Linked DNA regions of Saccharomyces cerevisiae S288C. The protein of the gene in region 1 binds, or shares a complex with, the protein of each later gene. Each region holds a gene or a part of one and is shown in the gene's direction. Other genes may lie near its edges.

Region 1 (4,367 bases):
GAGTTTAGTTTGATACTAGGCGCTATACATTATTATTTATATGCCCAGAGGTTACAACAGTGGCTACAATGCAAAAAATATACTGGCTTATATTTTTCATTTGAGATCTGGTTCCTCAAATATATATATATATTTATTTATTTTTTACACATACATACTGCCCTCCTGATTACTTTAAACATCTATATTACAAAAGAGAAGCATTCTTTTCCGTCCATTATACCGTTCTCGGGCGGATCCTTAGTTTCTTACGTTTTAGCTCTAACACTAATCAAAATTCTTATGAAGTGTTGGGACGGGCTTTTGGGCCCCAATTCTTTGTTGGATTTTCCTGATATCTCACAATTTTTAGCTTCCTTAGTTTTTCAATATTACCGCTTTGTTCATTTGGTGCGAACGACAGCTTTGAGTCATACTCTGATTTGACAGTGCCACTCAACCATCCTGGCATTGCCGATAAAATCTTATAGCCCGTAGTATTTGGATTCATTTTGCTTAAGTCTTTCTTCTCATCATCACATTTCTGCATCACATACCAGATTGCATCCCATGGAGCGTTAGTCTTTAGGGACGATGGTTGGGCATGTGTCAATGAACATTCAAAGCCTAGGGAACCTAGGCCTGCGACTACTTTTTTCAAGGGAGGTACTTGTAATTTTATTACCGATGCAATATGGTTAGGACTGAAATAGAATGGCGAATCGGATAATTCATTCTTAGCTAGAGATAGCATACCTTCAATTCTTTTACGTGTTCCATATGTATCATCCTGGTCACGATGCTCTTCTTTATTAATTCTCAACACCTCCTCGATGAACTCCTTGTTGTGTAGAGGTCCTGCATACATTGGACCAGCTAAATGGTATGTCCCCTCGCAGAACTTACATTTAGTATCAACCGGAGGCCCTTGCGCAACCGAGTATTTGGTGAATGTTTTGTTGTTCCTACCTTCGCGTTGAGAAATTCTGCCCAGAGGTTGATTGTGGTAAGAGCCGCAACGGGAACAATGGTAAGTAGTCATAGTACTTGACATAACGTTTTTGACTTCAATCGGGCTTGTTTTGACTTTGACAAAAACTCTGACGTAAAAGTCAATGCTCAACGACAAAAGCGGTTCCACAGTTTTCTTGTATTTCGCGGCAGTTTGCTTTAGTAAGTTCAATACTAGTCTCAGCGCACTTTCGTGAGTTGATTCATGAGAAACCATATTTGCACCACCATATAAGGCAAAACACTTTTCTGGGTATCCGTTACCGGCCAAAACGGATAAATCAGTGCAAGTTACCAGCATTAGACCACCCTCCTCAATACTCTGAATAGCCGCATCTACAAAAGGTGTAACGGTACCGTAAGGATCCAAGTCGATGACGTGAAACTTATTATTCGTCGCTTTGTTACGGTACATTAAGACATTAGCATCATCAAGGTTTGGCTTGACAATGTTTTCGACACTATTATATTCAACGTTTCGTTTTATAGATTCGACAGCCTCTGGAAGTAAATCGTTAGCAATAACTTCCCTCACATGGGGAATTTCATGAGCATACCTAATGGCTCTTAACCCAGTGGCTGACAATGCTTCCAAAATATTTATATAAGGTTCGTTTCGATTAGAATTACCAACGGCTTCTTTTGGTGACCCGTTTCCCATTTTTTGACGCTTGGAAGAATCATCGTTAGTTTCCGCGCACCTTTTCTTCTTACTTTTTTTATTATTTCTCTTTTGGCCACATTCCTCACCATATAGGTTGTCCCACGCCTTGATGCATGTAACACTTAGATCTCTATTAAATTGTTGGATGGGATTATAGAAAACAGTTTCCTTTTTAGGGAAAAGAATTTCTGCTTTTCCTTCCTTGACTATATTGAAATCCTCAATATTGATTCTTGGTGCACCATACGCGGTAAAATTCGCTTTAATTTTGGATATAGCAGCCTTCAACATTCCGTGTAAATTTGCCCGCTTGAGGGGTATCCTGAAGAAACCTTCCATATCTACATTGTAAGAGGAAAGGTATCAACTTATGACTGCTCAGGATCTGTAACTTTGCGATGAGCATTGAATGCGATGAAAAAAAAATAATGCTTTATCCCTTTGGACGAATAAAGAAAGGCTCAAATTGGAATAACGTTAAAAACCAGATTCGATCATCAGAGCTTAAAATTGTTATTCATAGCGGCACAATAGCAGAAGCCACAGAATATTACCTAGAGGTTTTAGGTGAAAGGAAGGATTTTTTTAATTATTTAATACTTTGAAATAGAAGTCAAGCCTTTCATTGCTTATTTATATCAGACCATATATTTTTACACACGATGCCACCAAAAGGTTGGAGAAAAGACGCCCAAGGGAATTACCCCACTACTTCGTATATTAAAGAACAAGAGAACATTACGATTCAGGACCTGTTATTTCCTAAAAGCACTATTGTGAATTTGGCACGCGAAGTGCCACAGCAAAGCGGCAAAAAGCTGCTGATAAATAAAGACGCATCACTAGCGTTACAGCGTGGTGCTACAGTATTTGTTAACCACTTGCTCCTGTTTGCAAGGGAAATTGCAAAGAGTCAAGATAAAAAAAGCTGCAGTGTAGATGATGTTCTGAGTGCTTTGGACCATATAGGACACTCGGCATTGAAGGGTCCGGTTAGAGATAAACTAGATGAATACCAAGCTGCTGTTGAACAGAGGAAGAAGGAAAAACTAGATAGTGGTGAAGTAGATGCTGATGGCGATATAGATATGGGTGAAGATAAGGAGAATGTGCCCGTGGAAAAGGTTAAAGAGCATGACGAAATAGAAGAACAAGGCGATGCATTACAGGACGTAGAAGAGTCCTCCGAAAAGAAACAGAAAACGGAGAGCCAAGATGTAGAAACTAGAGTTCAAAACCTTGAGCAAACGTAACCCCGCTATGGAAACTGTCTAGTAGTGCTTGCCACCACTCCCACAGGATCGTAGTATGTAACTTGCCTTTATTACCTACATACATAATAAGCTATACTCATCGTCGTTATTTGCAAGCCGGGGAACCCAACGCGGCGCCAATGCGGAAGGAAAGAAAGGGGACAAGAAGTTGATATTGGTGGAACGTTAACAAGAAATTATGGCGTTGAGGAAGTGTATTAGCGAGATACGATATCAAGCAGGTTTAGTTAGAGCCACTTTGTGATTTGAAATTTTTTGAGATTTACTTCGTTATTATAAGGACATACGGTAACCTAGGCTAGTTAACATAATTAGTTGTCACCCTTCGCCCCCCTACCCTATCGGTCTTTCATTTTCCAACTATTGATTAGTAAAATTCAAACATCTTTGCTCCGATTAGAGCAACTGAATATACTAGGGATTTTGGGCTATTACGCATTTTTTTTTTCAACTTCTTTTAAACAGGTACAGTTTATTACGATTACTTTTTGCTCACGTAGAATATGGATGATTATCACGTAAATACTGCCTTCTCAATGGGCAGAGGTAACCAGCAGGATGATGGCAATAGTGAAAGCAACAGCATGCATACACAACCAAGCACTATGGCGCCCGCTACGCTGAGAATGATGGGAAAAAGTCCACAGCAGCAGCAGCAGCAGAACACACCGCTAATGCCCCCGGCGGATATCAAATACGCCAATAATGGTAACTCACATCAAGCAGAGCAAAAGGAGAGACAAGTAGAACTTGAAGGTAAATCGAGAGAGAATGCACCAAAGCCAAATACTACCAGCCAGAGTCGAGTTTCGTCTTCTCAGGGCATGCCTAAGCAGTTTCATCGAAAATCGTTAGGAGATTGGGAGTTTGTTGAAACAGTTGGTGCAGGTTCTATGGGTAAAGTGAAGCTGGCAAAACATCGTTACACTAATGAGGTTTGTGCAGTAAAAATTGTAAACCGTGCTACAAAGGCTTTCCTACATAAAGAACAAATGCTGCCACCACCCAAAAATGAACAAGATGTTTTGGAGAGACAGAAGAAATTAGAGAAGGAAATATCTAGGGACAAAAGAACTATTCGAGAAGCGTCCTTGGGACAAATCTTATATCATCCACACATATGTAGACTTTTTGAGATGTGCACGTTGTCAAATCATTTCTATATGTTGTTTGAATATGTTTCAGGTGGTCAGCTGTTAGACTATATCATCCAACATGGGTCAATACGAGAACACCAAGCGAGAAAGTTTGCTAGGGGTATCGCGAGCGCCTTAATATATTTGCATGCTAACAACATCGTCCATAGAGATTTGAAGATAGAAAATATAATGATTTCAGATTCCAGTGAAATCAAGATAATTGATTTTGGACTTTCAAATATTTATGATTCTAGGAAGCAGCTTCATACATTCTGTGGCTCTCTGTATTTTGCCGCTCCC
Region 2 (9,370 bases), on another chromosome or scaffold:
TGGTGTCATATTCACTTAATCCGACAATGCCTCCAAACTTTAAAAATCTATCAAAACGTTTCAATCGTAAATCGTCAACTTTCTTAACCATATCTGGCCAATAGACTTCATGTTTATACTTGAAGTCTAACAGACCATTGTATAGAGCATCTAGTTGAGATGGCTCTATGTGGTTTTCAAATGGTTCGTCAAAGATAGCCTTCGCCTTAGTGGCAGGGTCAAGGAACGGATACATCATCTTCAAAAAAGCCCACGCAAACCATGGGATATTGATCAGGACACACTTAGCTAACCTTTCAGGGTAATGATCTTGCATGACGTTCAAACACATCCTAGCAATAGAGATGGGTGGAGCTTTATCAGTGATAATACCAGGTTCTTTATAACTTTTGAAATCTACCAAGACTGTGATCTTTTCTACACCTTGGGGAGCTACAGTTGTCGCAGTTTCCATCATGTAGACTAATTCTTGGACTTGTCTAAAGGAAGATTCTGTGTTTTGACGACCATTTTTCATGTAGTATAGAGGTCTTTTAGCGTTGTCAAAGCCCAAAATAACCTGTTTACCAGTTTCGTTCTCAACGGCAACTTTGTCAGCTGTTAAAGGGTCTTTGTCCTCCTTACCATGTGTAAGTCCAATTTCTCTCCTCCATACCAAGGTTTTGGTGAGACCTTTTATGGCGTTCGCGGTGTTCCATTTATTGGCTCTTAGGTATCTTAGAAAACACTCCCTAGAAAGCCAAAACTTCTCCCAATCACTCAAGGGTCTGTCATTGGCATGTGTCCCATTGTCAAGGTCATTGAGATTTTCTGGTAATTTCAGATCATCATCTTGAAAATGTCGTAAGACAGCTCTATATTTTTCGTTTTGATCTTCGGAGATGGGTTCCAGTAGAGGTGCGTTACCATACTTGGCAGGAGGGTCCAAGAATATCTTATCACATGGAATAAGTTTCTCTTTAGGCACAGCAGGCGTATGGTCCCGTTTTCTTGAAAAAAGACCCATTTTTGTTCTTCTTCTTGTGCTTTCTTTGTGTGATTTTTCAGGGTCTTTTTTTTTAAACAATGATGTAAATTAAATCTATCTAAAAAGCGTGATTTTTCCCACGAATTTTAATCCCTCTATTGTTCTCTTTCCACTCCATATTGAGTGAAAGGAAAAATAAGAAAAGTAAATAGAAAATTTATGACGTAGGAATAAAAGTATATAAGTATTTAACAAATTGACCGTAGATAATAATAATGCGCATGAAATTAAATCCTCTCTTTGATCTCTTCAATCAAGATCAACCCATTAACCACATTAGAACATTTTGCCAAATGAAGCCATAGACGAATAGGAAGTAATTGCACTTCTTGACGGTCGATTTGCTGATGGAAACGTGTATATCATCGTCTTCAGCACCGGAGCGGCTTAGTAAATTGAACTTGACGGATCTTAGTAGGAATACGCCAAAGGCAATAAATAAGTAAAATTTTATCAAAATATTCAGGTTAAATGGCATGGTCACGTTGGTCAAAAGCTGGGCGAGAATCAATGGAACAAATTTGTAGCCGACATAGCACAACAGTTCGACCAAACTGAAGCTTGGAATCTTAGAATCGATCAAAAGATACAAGCCAAGCTTCAAAATCAACAAATCTAAACACACAAACGCCAGAGTAGAAGACAGTTTGTAGTACAAGTCTTCGGGGTTGAATGAACCCTTCAGACCTTGCTGCGTATTCCAGATGAGAATATAGGTAACTAGTCCCATAATAGGCATGTACATGTCTGGGGAGTTCACGTCATCCCTTGGTGGCAAAAAGTTGCCAGAGTCCATAATTCGTTGCCAGTTCTTGGTTCCGTTAAGAAAAGGAACTAGGATGAGTTTCAATTTATTGATGACATAACGGGTGCTGACTTGAAAATACGTTGAAATTTGTTGAGAGCCGGCAGCGTTTGCAGTGGCTTTATTGACCGTTTCTTGAAACTGGTTAAAGTTATCCTGACCAATAAAATTAGAAAATGCGCTCTGCCCTAGTTGGAATGCCATCGAACCACGAGGATCTTGGAATGGAAAACCACCGCCACTGCCATTTACGTTTGCATTCATATTCGCATTACCTTGGCCATTCACGGGCGTGTTCCTCGGAATTTGCATTGGTCGTTGCTGTTGTGGAGTGTGGGAAAAGCGATCGTTAACGCCATTCTGCTCACTTGTTGCATATGCGTACGGATTATAAGACATCTTGGTATGGGCCTTTGGTTTTCGTTTTCTGCTATTGATACTCAGTAGCGAGGTCTTACAATCGAAAAGTCAAAAAGATGAGTTGTAGTATAAAACAACAGCTCTGGTGTGCAATATGGATCTTGATACAGAGTCTCGGATATGCTGTTTTAGCACTGAGAAAAAGTAATAGTAACACTGTCAGTGTTCGTCAAAGGCCCAAGTTTATTGTCATTTGAATTGTCAGAATGGTTTATTTTCAGGTAGGGTAACCAGAACGCGTAAGTTTCTTGCATCTTTTACCATTTTAACTGGAAGAGGACCTATCAAAAAGAGCATATGATGATGAAAGAGCACATTCTATCAAGATAACACTCTCAGGGGACAAGTATATGATGTTTGGCAAGAAAAAAAACAACGGAGGATCTTCCACTGCAAGATATTCAGCTGGCAACAAGTACAACACACTCTCAAATAATTATGCGCTTAGCGCGCAACAGCTCTTAAATGCTAGTAAGATCGATGACATCGATTCGATGATGGGATTTGAAAGATACGTACCGCCGCAATACAATGGCAGGTTTGATGCGAAGGATATAGATCAGATTCCAGGCCGCGTAGGGTGGCTGACGAACATGCACGCAACGCTGGTCTCTCAGGAAACCTTATCCAGTGGTAGTAATGGCGGCGGCAATTCGAATGACGGAGAACGTGTAACGACCAACCAAGGTATTTCCGGAGTTGACTTCTACTTTTTAGATGAAGAGGGTGGGAGCTTCAAGTCGACAGTTGTCTATGACCCATACTTCTTTATTGCGTGTAACGATGAATCAAGAGTAAATGATGTGGAGGAACTAGTGAAAAAATATCTGGAATCTTGTCTCAAAAGCTTACAAATCATTAGAAAGGAAGATCTTACCATGGACAATCACCTTTTAGGGCTGCAGAAGACACTTATTAAGTTATCATTTGTAAATTCCAATCAGTTATTCGAGGCCAGGAAACTCCTGAGGCCAATCTTGCAGGATAATGCCAATAATAATGTGCAAAGAAATATATATAACGTTGCTGCAAATGGCTCGGAAAAAGTTGACGCCAAACATCTGATCGAAGATATCAGGGAATATGATGTGCCGTATCATGTCCGAGTATCTATAGACAAGGACATTAGAGTCGGTAAATGGTATAAGGTAACTCAACAGGGATTCATTGAAGATACTAGGAAAATTGCATTTGCCGACCCTGTGGTAATGGCATTTGATATAGAAACCACGAAGCCGCCTTTAAAATTCCCGGATTCCGCCGTAGATCAAATAATGATGATTTCGTATATGATCGATGGGGAAGGTTTTTTGATAACAAATAGGGAGATAATCTCTGAGGATATTGAAGACTTTGAGTATACACCGAAACCGGAGTATCCTGGTTTTTTCACCATATTTAACGAAAACGATGAAGTGGCGCTTCTACAAAGGTTTTTTGAACATATAAGAGATGTACGACCCACTGTTATATCCACCTTCAATGGTGACTTTTTCGATTGGCCTTTTATACATAACAGAAGTAAGATTCACGGCTTGGACATGTTCGATGAAATTGGTTTCGCTCCAGATGCTGAAGGTGAGTACAAGTCCTCATACTGCTCTCACATGGATTGTTTCCGTTGGGTGAAGCGTGATTCTTATTTACCACAAGGTTCCCAGGGTTTAAAAGCTGTTACTCAATCTAAGCTAGGTTATAACCCAATTGAACTGGATCCCGAATTAATGACGCCGTATGCATTTGAAAAGCCACAGCACCTTTCCGAATATTCTGTTTCCGATGCAGTCGCTACGTATTACCTTTACATGAAATATGTTCATCCTTTTATCTTTTCCCTTTGTACTATTATTCCTTTGAACCCGGATGAAACATTGAGAAAGGGTACCGGTACTTTGTGTGAAATGTTGTTGATGGTTCAAGCTTATCAACATAATATTCTTCTACCAAATAAGCATACAGATCCCATTGAGAGGTTCTATGATGGACATCTTCTAGAATCCGAGACTTACGTGGGTGGACATGTGGAGTCATTAGAAGCTGGTGTTTTTAGGAGTGATTTGAAGAATGAATTCAAGATAGATCCTTCTGCCATTGATGAATTATTACAAGAATTACCAGAAGCTTTGAAATTTAGTGTGGAAGTTGAAAATAAGTCCAGTGTAGATAAAGTAACGAATTTTGAGGAAATAAAAAACCAGATAACGCAGAAATTATTAGAGTTGAAGGAAAACAATATAAGAAACGAACTACCTTTGATCTATCATGTAGATGTCGCCTCTATGTACCCAAACATCATGACTACAAATAGACTACAACCAGATAGTATCAAAGCAGAGCGCGATTGTGCTAGTTGCGATTTTAATAGACCCGGAAAAACCTGTGCAAGAAAGTTAAAATGGGCTTGGAGAGGAGAATTCTTTCCCAGTAAGATGGATGAGTATAACATGATCAAGCGTGCATTACAAAATGAGACTTTTCCCAACAAAAACAAGTTTTCTAAAAAGAAAGTTTTGACATTTGATGAACTAAGTTACGCAGACCAAGTTATCCACATAAAAAAACGTTTAACTGAATATTCAAGGAAAGTTTATCATAGGGTTAAAGTATCAGAAATTGTCGAACGAGAAGCCATTGTCTGCCAAAGAGAAAATCCATTCTACGTCGATACCGTGAAATCCTTTCGTGATAGGCGTTACGAATTCAAAGGTTTAGCCAAGACTTGGAAGGGAAATCTGTCCAAAATTGACCCATCTGATAAGCATGCGAGAGACGAGGCCAAAAAGATGATTGTGCTTTATGACTCATTACAATTAGCTCACAAAGTTATTTTGAATTCGTTTTATGGGTATGTTATGAGGAAAGGCTCTCGTTGGTATTCCATGGAAATGGCGGGGATTACGTGTTTAACAGGTGCCACGATCATTCAAATGGCGAGAGCTTTAGTAGAAAGGGTAGGAAGACCATTAGAATTAGATACTGATGGTATTTGGTGTATCTTACCAAAATCTTTCCCTGAAACTTACTTTTTTACATTAGAAAATGGTAAAAAGCTTTATCTCTCCTACCCATGTTCCATGCTGAATTACAGAGTTCACCAAAAGTTTACGAATCACCAATACCAAGAATTAAAAGACCCATTGAACTATATATATGAGACGCACAGTGAAAACACGATTTTTTTCGAAGTTGACGGACCATATAAGGCCATGATTTTGCCTAGTTCCAAGGAAGAAGGAAAAGGTATAAAGAAAAGATATGCTGTCTTCAATGAAGACGGCTCACTTGCTGAACTGAAAGGTTTTGAATTGAAGAGGCGTGGTGAATTACAACTAATAAAAAATTTTCAAAGTGATATTTTCAAGGTCTTTTTGGAAGGTGATACATTAGAAGGATGTTACAGTGCTGTAGCAAGCGTATGTAACCGTTGGTTAGATGTTCTTGATTCACATGGTCTTATGTTAGAAGATGAAGACTTGGTCAGTTTGATTTGTGAAAATAGAAGTATGTCAAAAACTTTAAAGGAATATGAAGGGCAAAAATCTACTTCTATTACGACGGCAAGGAGATTGGGGGATTTTTTGGGTGAAGATATGGTAAAAGATAAAGGTCTACAATGTAAATATATTATTAGTTCAAAACCTTTCAATGCACCTGTTACTGAACGAGCCATTCCAGTCGCAATATTTTCAGCGGACATTCCCATCAAAAGGTCTTTTCTGAGGCGATGGACATTAGATCCATCTTTGGAAGATCTGGATATCAGAACCATAATCGATTGGGGTTATTATAGAGAAAGACTTGGATCTGCTATACAAAAGATAATTACTATTCCAGCAGCATTACAAGGGGTTTCCAATCCTGTTCCAAGGGTTGAACATCCAGATTGGCTAAAAAGAAAAATCGCTACAAAGGAGGATAAGTTTAAGCAGACTTCACTAACCAAATTTTTTTCGAAGACAAAGAATGTACCAACAATGGGCAAGATAAAAGATATCGAGGATTTGTTTGAACCAACTGTAGAAGAAGATAACGCCAAAATTAAAATTGCAAGAACTACTAAAAAGAAAGCCGTATCCAAGAGGAAAAGAAATCAGCTTACAAATGAAGAAGATCCACTAGTATTGCCCTCGGAGATTCCTTCCATGGACGAGGACTATGTTGGGTGGCTAAATTATCAAAAAATTAAATGGAAAATCCAAGCAAGAGATAGAAAGCGTCGAGACCAATTATTTGGTAATACAAACAGCTCCCGTGAAAGAAGTGCACTAGGAAGTATGATTAGGAAGCAAGCTGAATCATATGCGAACTCCACTTGGGAGGTCTTACAATACAAGGATTCCGGTGAGCCAGGGGTTTTGGAAGTATTTGTAACAATTAATGGCAAAGTCCAGAACATCACCTTCCATATACCAAAAACTATTTATATGAAATTCAAATCTCAAACAATGCCGCTACAAAAGATTAAGAATTGCCTTATTGAAAAATCTTCTGCATCGTTACCAAATAATCCCAAAACGTCTAATCCAGCAGGCGGTCAGCTATTCAAAATTACTCTACCGGAATCTGTCTTTCTGGAAGAAAAGGAAAACTGCACTAGTATCTTCAACGATGAAAATGTACTTGGTGTATTTGAGGGCACTATCACTCCTCATCAAAGAGCGATCATGGATTTGGGAGCTTCGGTAACGTTCCGCTCAAAAGCAATGGGTGCGTTAGGCAAGGGAATACAGCAGGGTTTTGAAATGAAGGATCTTTCAATGGCGGAAAATGAAAGGTATCTGAGTGGATTTTCAATGGACATTGGCTATTTACTACATTTCCCAACATCAATTGGGTATGAATTTTTTTCATTATTCAAGTCATGGGGAGATACTATTACTATATTAGTTTTGAAACCATCCAACCAGGCTCAGGAAATAAATGCCTCATCATTAGGACAAATATACAAACAAATGTTTGAAAAAAAGAAAGGTAAAATAGAAACATATTCTTACTTGGTTGATATTAAAGAAGATATCAATTTTGAGTTTGTATATTTTACAGATATCTCAAAATTGTACAGAAGACTATCACAGGAAACTACTAAATTAAAAGAAGAAAGAGGTCTGCAGTTTTTACTCTTGTTACAATCTCCGTTTATCACTAAGCTCTTAGGCACAATCCGGCTTCTAAACCAGATGCCCATTGTTAAGCTTTCCTTGAATGAAGTTCTTCTACCCCAATTGAACTGGCAACCGACATTATTGAAGAAACTTGTTAACCACGTTTTATCCAGTGGTTCGTGGATTTCTCACTTGATCAAGTTATCCCAGTATAGTAACATTCCAATCTGTAATTTGAGGCTGGATAGTATGGATTATATTATTGATGTTCTTTATGCAAGAAAACTAAAAAAAGAGAACATCGTGCTTTGGTGGAATGAGAAAGCTCCACTTCCAGATCATGGAGGCATTCAAAATGATTTTGATTTAAATACATCATGGATAATGAATGATTCAGAATTTCCCAAAATTAATAACTCAGGTGTGTATGACAATGTAGTTCTCGATGTTGGTGTTGATAATTTAACAGTGAACACAATTTTGACATCAGCATTAATCAATGATGCTGAAGGCAGTGATCTAGTTAACAATAATATGGGTATAGATGACAAAGATGCCGTTATTAACTCGCCATCTGAATTCGTGCACGACGCCTTTTCTAATGACGCTTTGAATGTTTTAAGAGGTATGTTAAAGGAGTGGTGGGATGAGGCCCTAAAAGAAAATTCAACCGCAGATTTGTTGGTAAATTCCCTGGCAAGTTGGGTTCAAAACCCGAATGCGAAACTATTCGACGGATTACTAAGATATCACGTTCATAACTTAACAAAAAAAGCCTTACTTCAATTAGTAAATGAATTTAGTGCACTTGGCTCAACTATTGTATATGCAGACAGGAATCAAATTCTAATAAAGACAAACAAGTACTCACCTGAAAACTGTTACGCCTACAGCCAATATATGATGAAGGCAGTTAGAACAAATCCAATGTTTAGTTATCTGGACTTAAATATCAAACGTTATTGGGATCTGCTAATATGGATGGATAAGTTTAATTTTAGTGGATTAGCATGTATTGAAATAGAGGAAAAGGAAAATCAGGATTATACCGCTGTTTCGCAATGGCAACTAAAGAAGTTTCTGTCACCAATATATCAGCCCGAATTTGAGGATTGGATGATGATCATATTGGATAGTATGCTAAAGACAAAGCAGAGCTATCTAAAATTGAATTCAGGGACGCAAAGACCTACCCAAATAGTTAATGTAAAAAAACAAGATAAGGAAGATAGTGTTGAAAACTCGTTGAACGGATTTTCTCACCTTTTTTCCAAACCACTAATGAAAAGAGTCAAAAAGCTTTTTAAAAACCAGCAAGAGTTCATTTTAGATCCTCAGTATGAGGCAGACTATGTTATTCCTGTTCTTCCTGGTTCCCATCTGAATGTGAAAAATCCCCTTCTAGAACTTGTCAAATCACTCTGCCATGTCATGTTACTTTCAAAGAGTACAATTTTAGAAATCAGGACCCTGAGAAAAGAACTGCTGAAGATATTTGAATTGCGTGAGTTTGCTAAAGTAGCGGAATTCAAAGATCCAAGTTTGAGTCTCGTGGTGCCGGATTTTTTATGTGAATACTGTTTTTTCATTTCTGATATTGACTTTTGTAAGGCAGCTCCTGAATCTATTTTTTCATGCGTCAGATGTCACAAAGCCTTTAATCAAGTATTGTTGCAAGAACACCTGATTCAAAAACTACGTTCTGATATCGAATCCTATTTAATTCAAGATTTGAGATGCTCCAGATGTCATAAAGTGAAACGTGACTATATGAGTGCCCACTGTCCATGTGCCGGCGCGTGGGAAGGAACTCTCCCCAGAGAAAGCATTGTTCAAAAGTTAAATGTGTTTAAGCAAGTAGCCAAGTATTACGGTTTTGATATATTATTGAGTTGTATTGCTGATTTGACCATATGAGTAAGCAGTATATAACGCGAGGTTCAATGGCCTCTTTACCATGAAAAAAAAAAAAAAAAAAAAAAAAAGGTAAGGAAAAAGAGTATTTTCAATTCGTTT

Evidence for each region. Proteins that work in one complex are often made in the same cells at the same time.
Region 2: the proteins of DPB4 (region 1) and POL2 are in contact, whole or in part, in a cryo-EM structure (PDB 6WJV), measured with the Saccharomyces cerevisiae proteins. Residues at the interface, in NP_010406.3 of Saccharomyces cerevisiae: Ser18 (codon at 2,368), Tyr19 (codon at 2,371), Ile20 (codon at 2,374), Lys21 (codon at 2,377), Glu22 (codon at 2,380), Gln23 (codon at 2,383), Glu24 (codon at 2,386), Ile26 (codon at 2,392), Gln29 (codon at 2,401), Asp30 (codon at 2,404), Arg65 (codon at 2,509), Val69 (codon at 2,521), Asn72 (codon at 2,530), His73 (codon at 2,533), Leu76 (codon at 2,542), Phe77 (codon at 2,545), Arg79 (codon at 2,551), Glu80 (codon at 2,554), Val92 (codon at 2,590), Asp93 (codon at 2,593), His101 (codon at 2,617), Ile102 (codon at 2,620), Gly103 (codon at 2,623), Ala106 (codon at 2,632), Pro110 (codon at 2,644), Arg112 (codon at 2,650), Asp113 (codon at 2,653), Asp116 (codon at 2,662), Gln119 (codon at 2,671), Glu123 (codon at 2,683); in NP_014137.1 of Saccharomyces cerevisiae: Val1270 (codon at 6,410), Gly1271 (codon at 6,413), Trp1272 (codon at 6,416), Leu1273 (codon at 6,419), Tyr1275 (codon at 6,425), Lys1277 (codon at 6,431), Ile1278 (codon at 6,434), Trp1280 (codon at 6,440), Lys1281 (codon at 6,443), Ile1282 (codon at 6,446), Ala1284 (codon at 6,452), Arg1287 (codon at 6,461), Glu1302 (codon at 6,506), Met1309 (codon at 6,527), Ile1310 (codon at 6,530), Lys1345 (codon at 6,635), Asn1348 (codon at 6,644), Lys1581 (codon at 7,343), Glu1582 (codon at 7,346), Glu1583 (codon at 7,349), Arg1584 (codon at 7,352), Gly1585 (codon at 7,355), Leu1586 (codon at 7,358), Leu1607 (codon at 7,421).

What each region holds. Positions count from the first base shown.
Region 1 is NC_001136.10:691,269-695,635, forward strand, and holds DPB4 (DNA polymerase epsilon noncatalytic subunit), read left to right. Parts: upstream 1-2,316; coding exon 2,317-2,907; downstream 2,908-4,367. Other genes in the region: TRM1 (tRNA (guanine26-N2)-dimethyltransferase), read right to left, coding at 281-1,993; serine/threonine protein kinase KIN1, read left to right, coding at 3,432-4,367. UniProt on the Saccharomyces cerevisiae protein: As accessory component of the DNA polymerase epsilon (DNA polymerase II) participates in chromosomal DNA replication.
Region 2 is NC_001146.8:145,610-154,979, forward strand, and holds POL2 (DNA polymerase epsilon catalytic subunit), read left to right. Parts: upstream 1-2,602; coding exon 2,603-9,271; downstream 9,272-9,370. Other genes in the region: PDR17 (phosphatidylinositol transporter), read right to left, coding at 1-1,006; protein transporter YIF1, read right to left, coding at 1,287-2,231. UniProt on the Saccharomyces cerevisiae protein: Catalytic component of the DNA polymerase epsilon complex which participates in chromosomal DNA replication.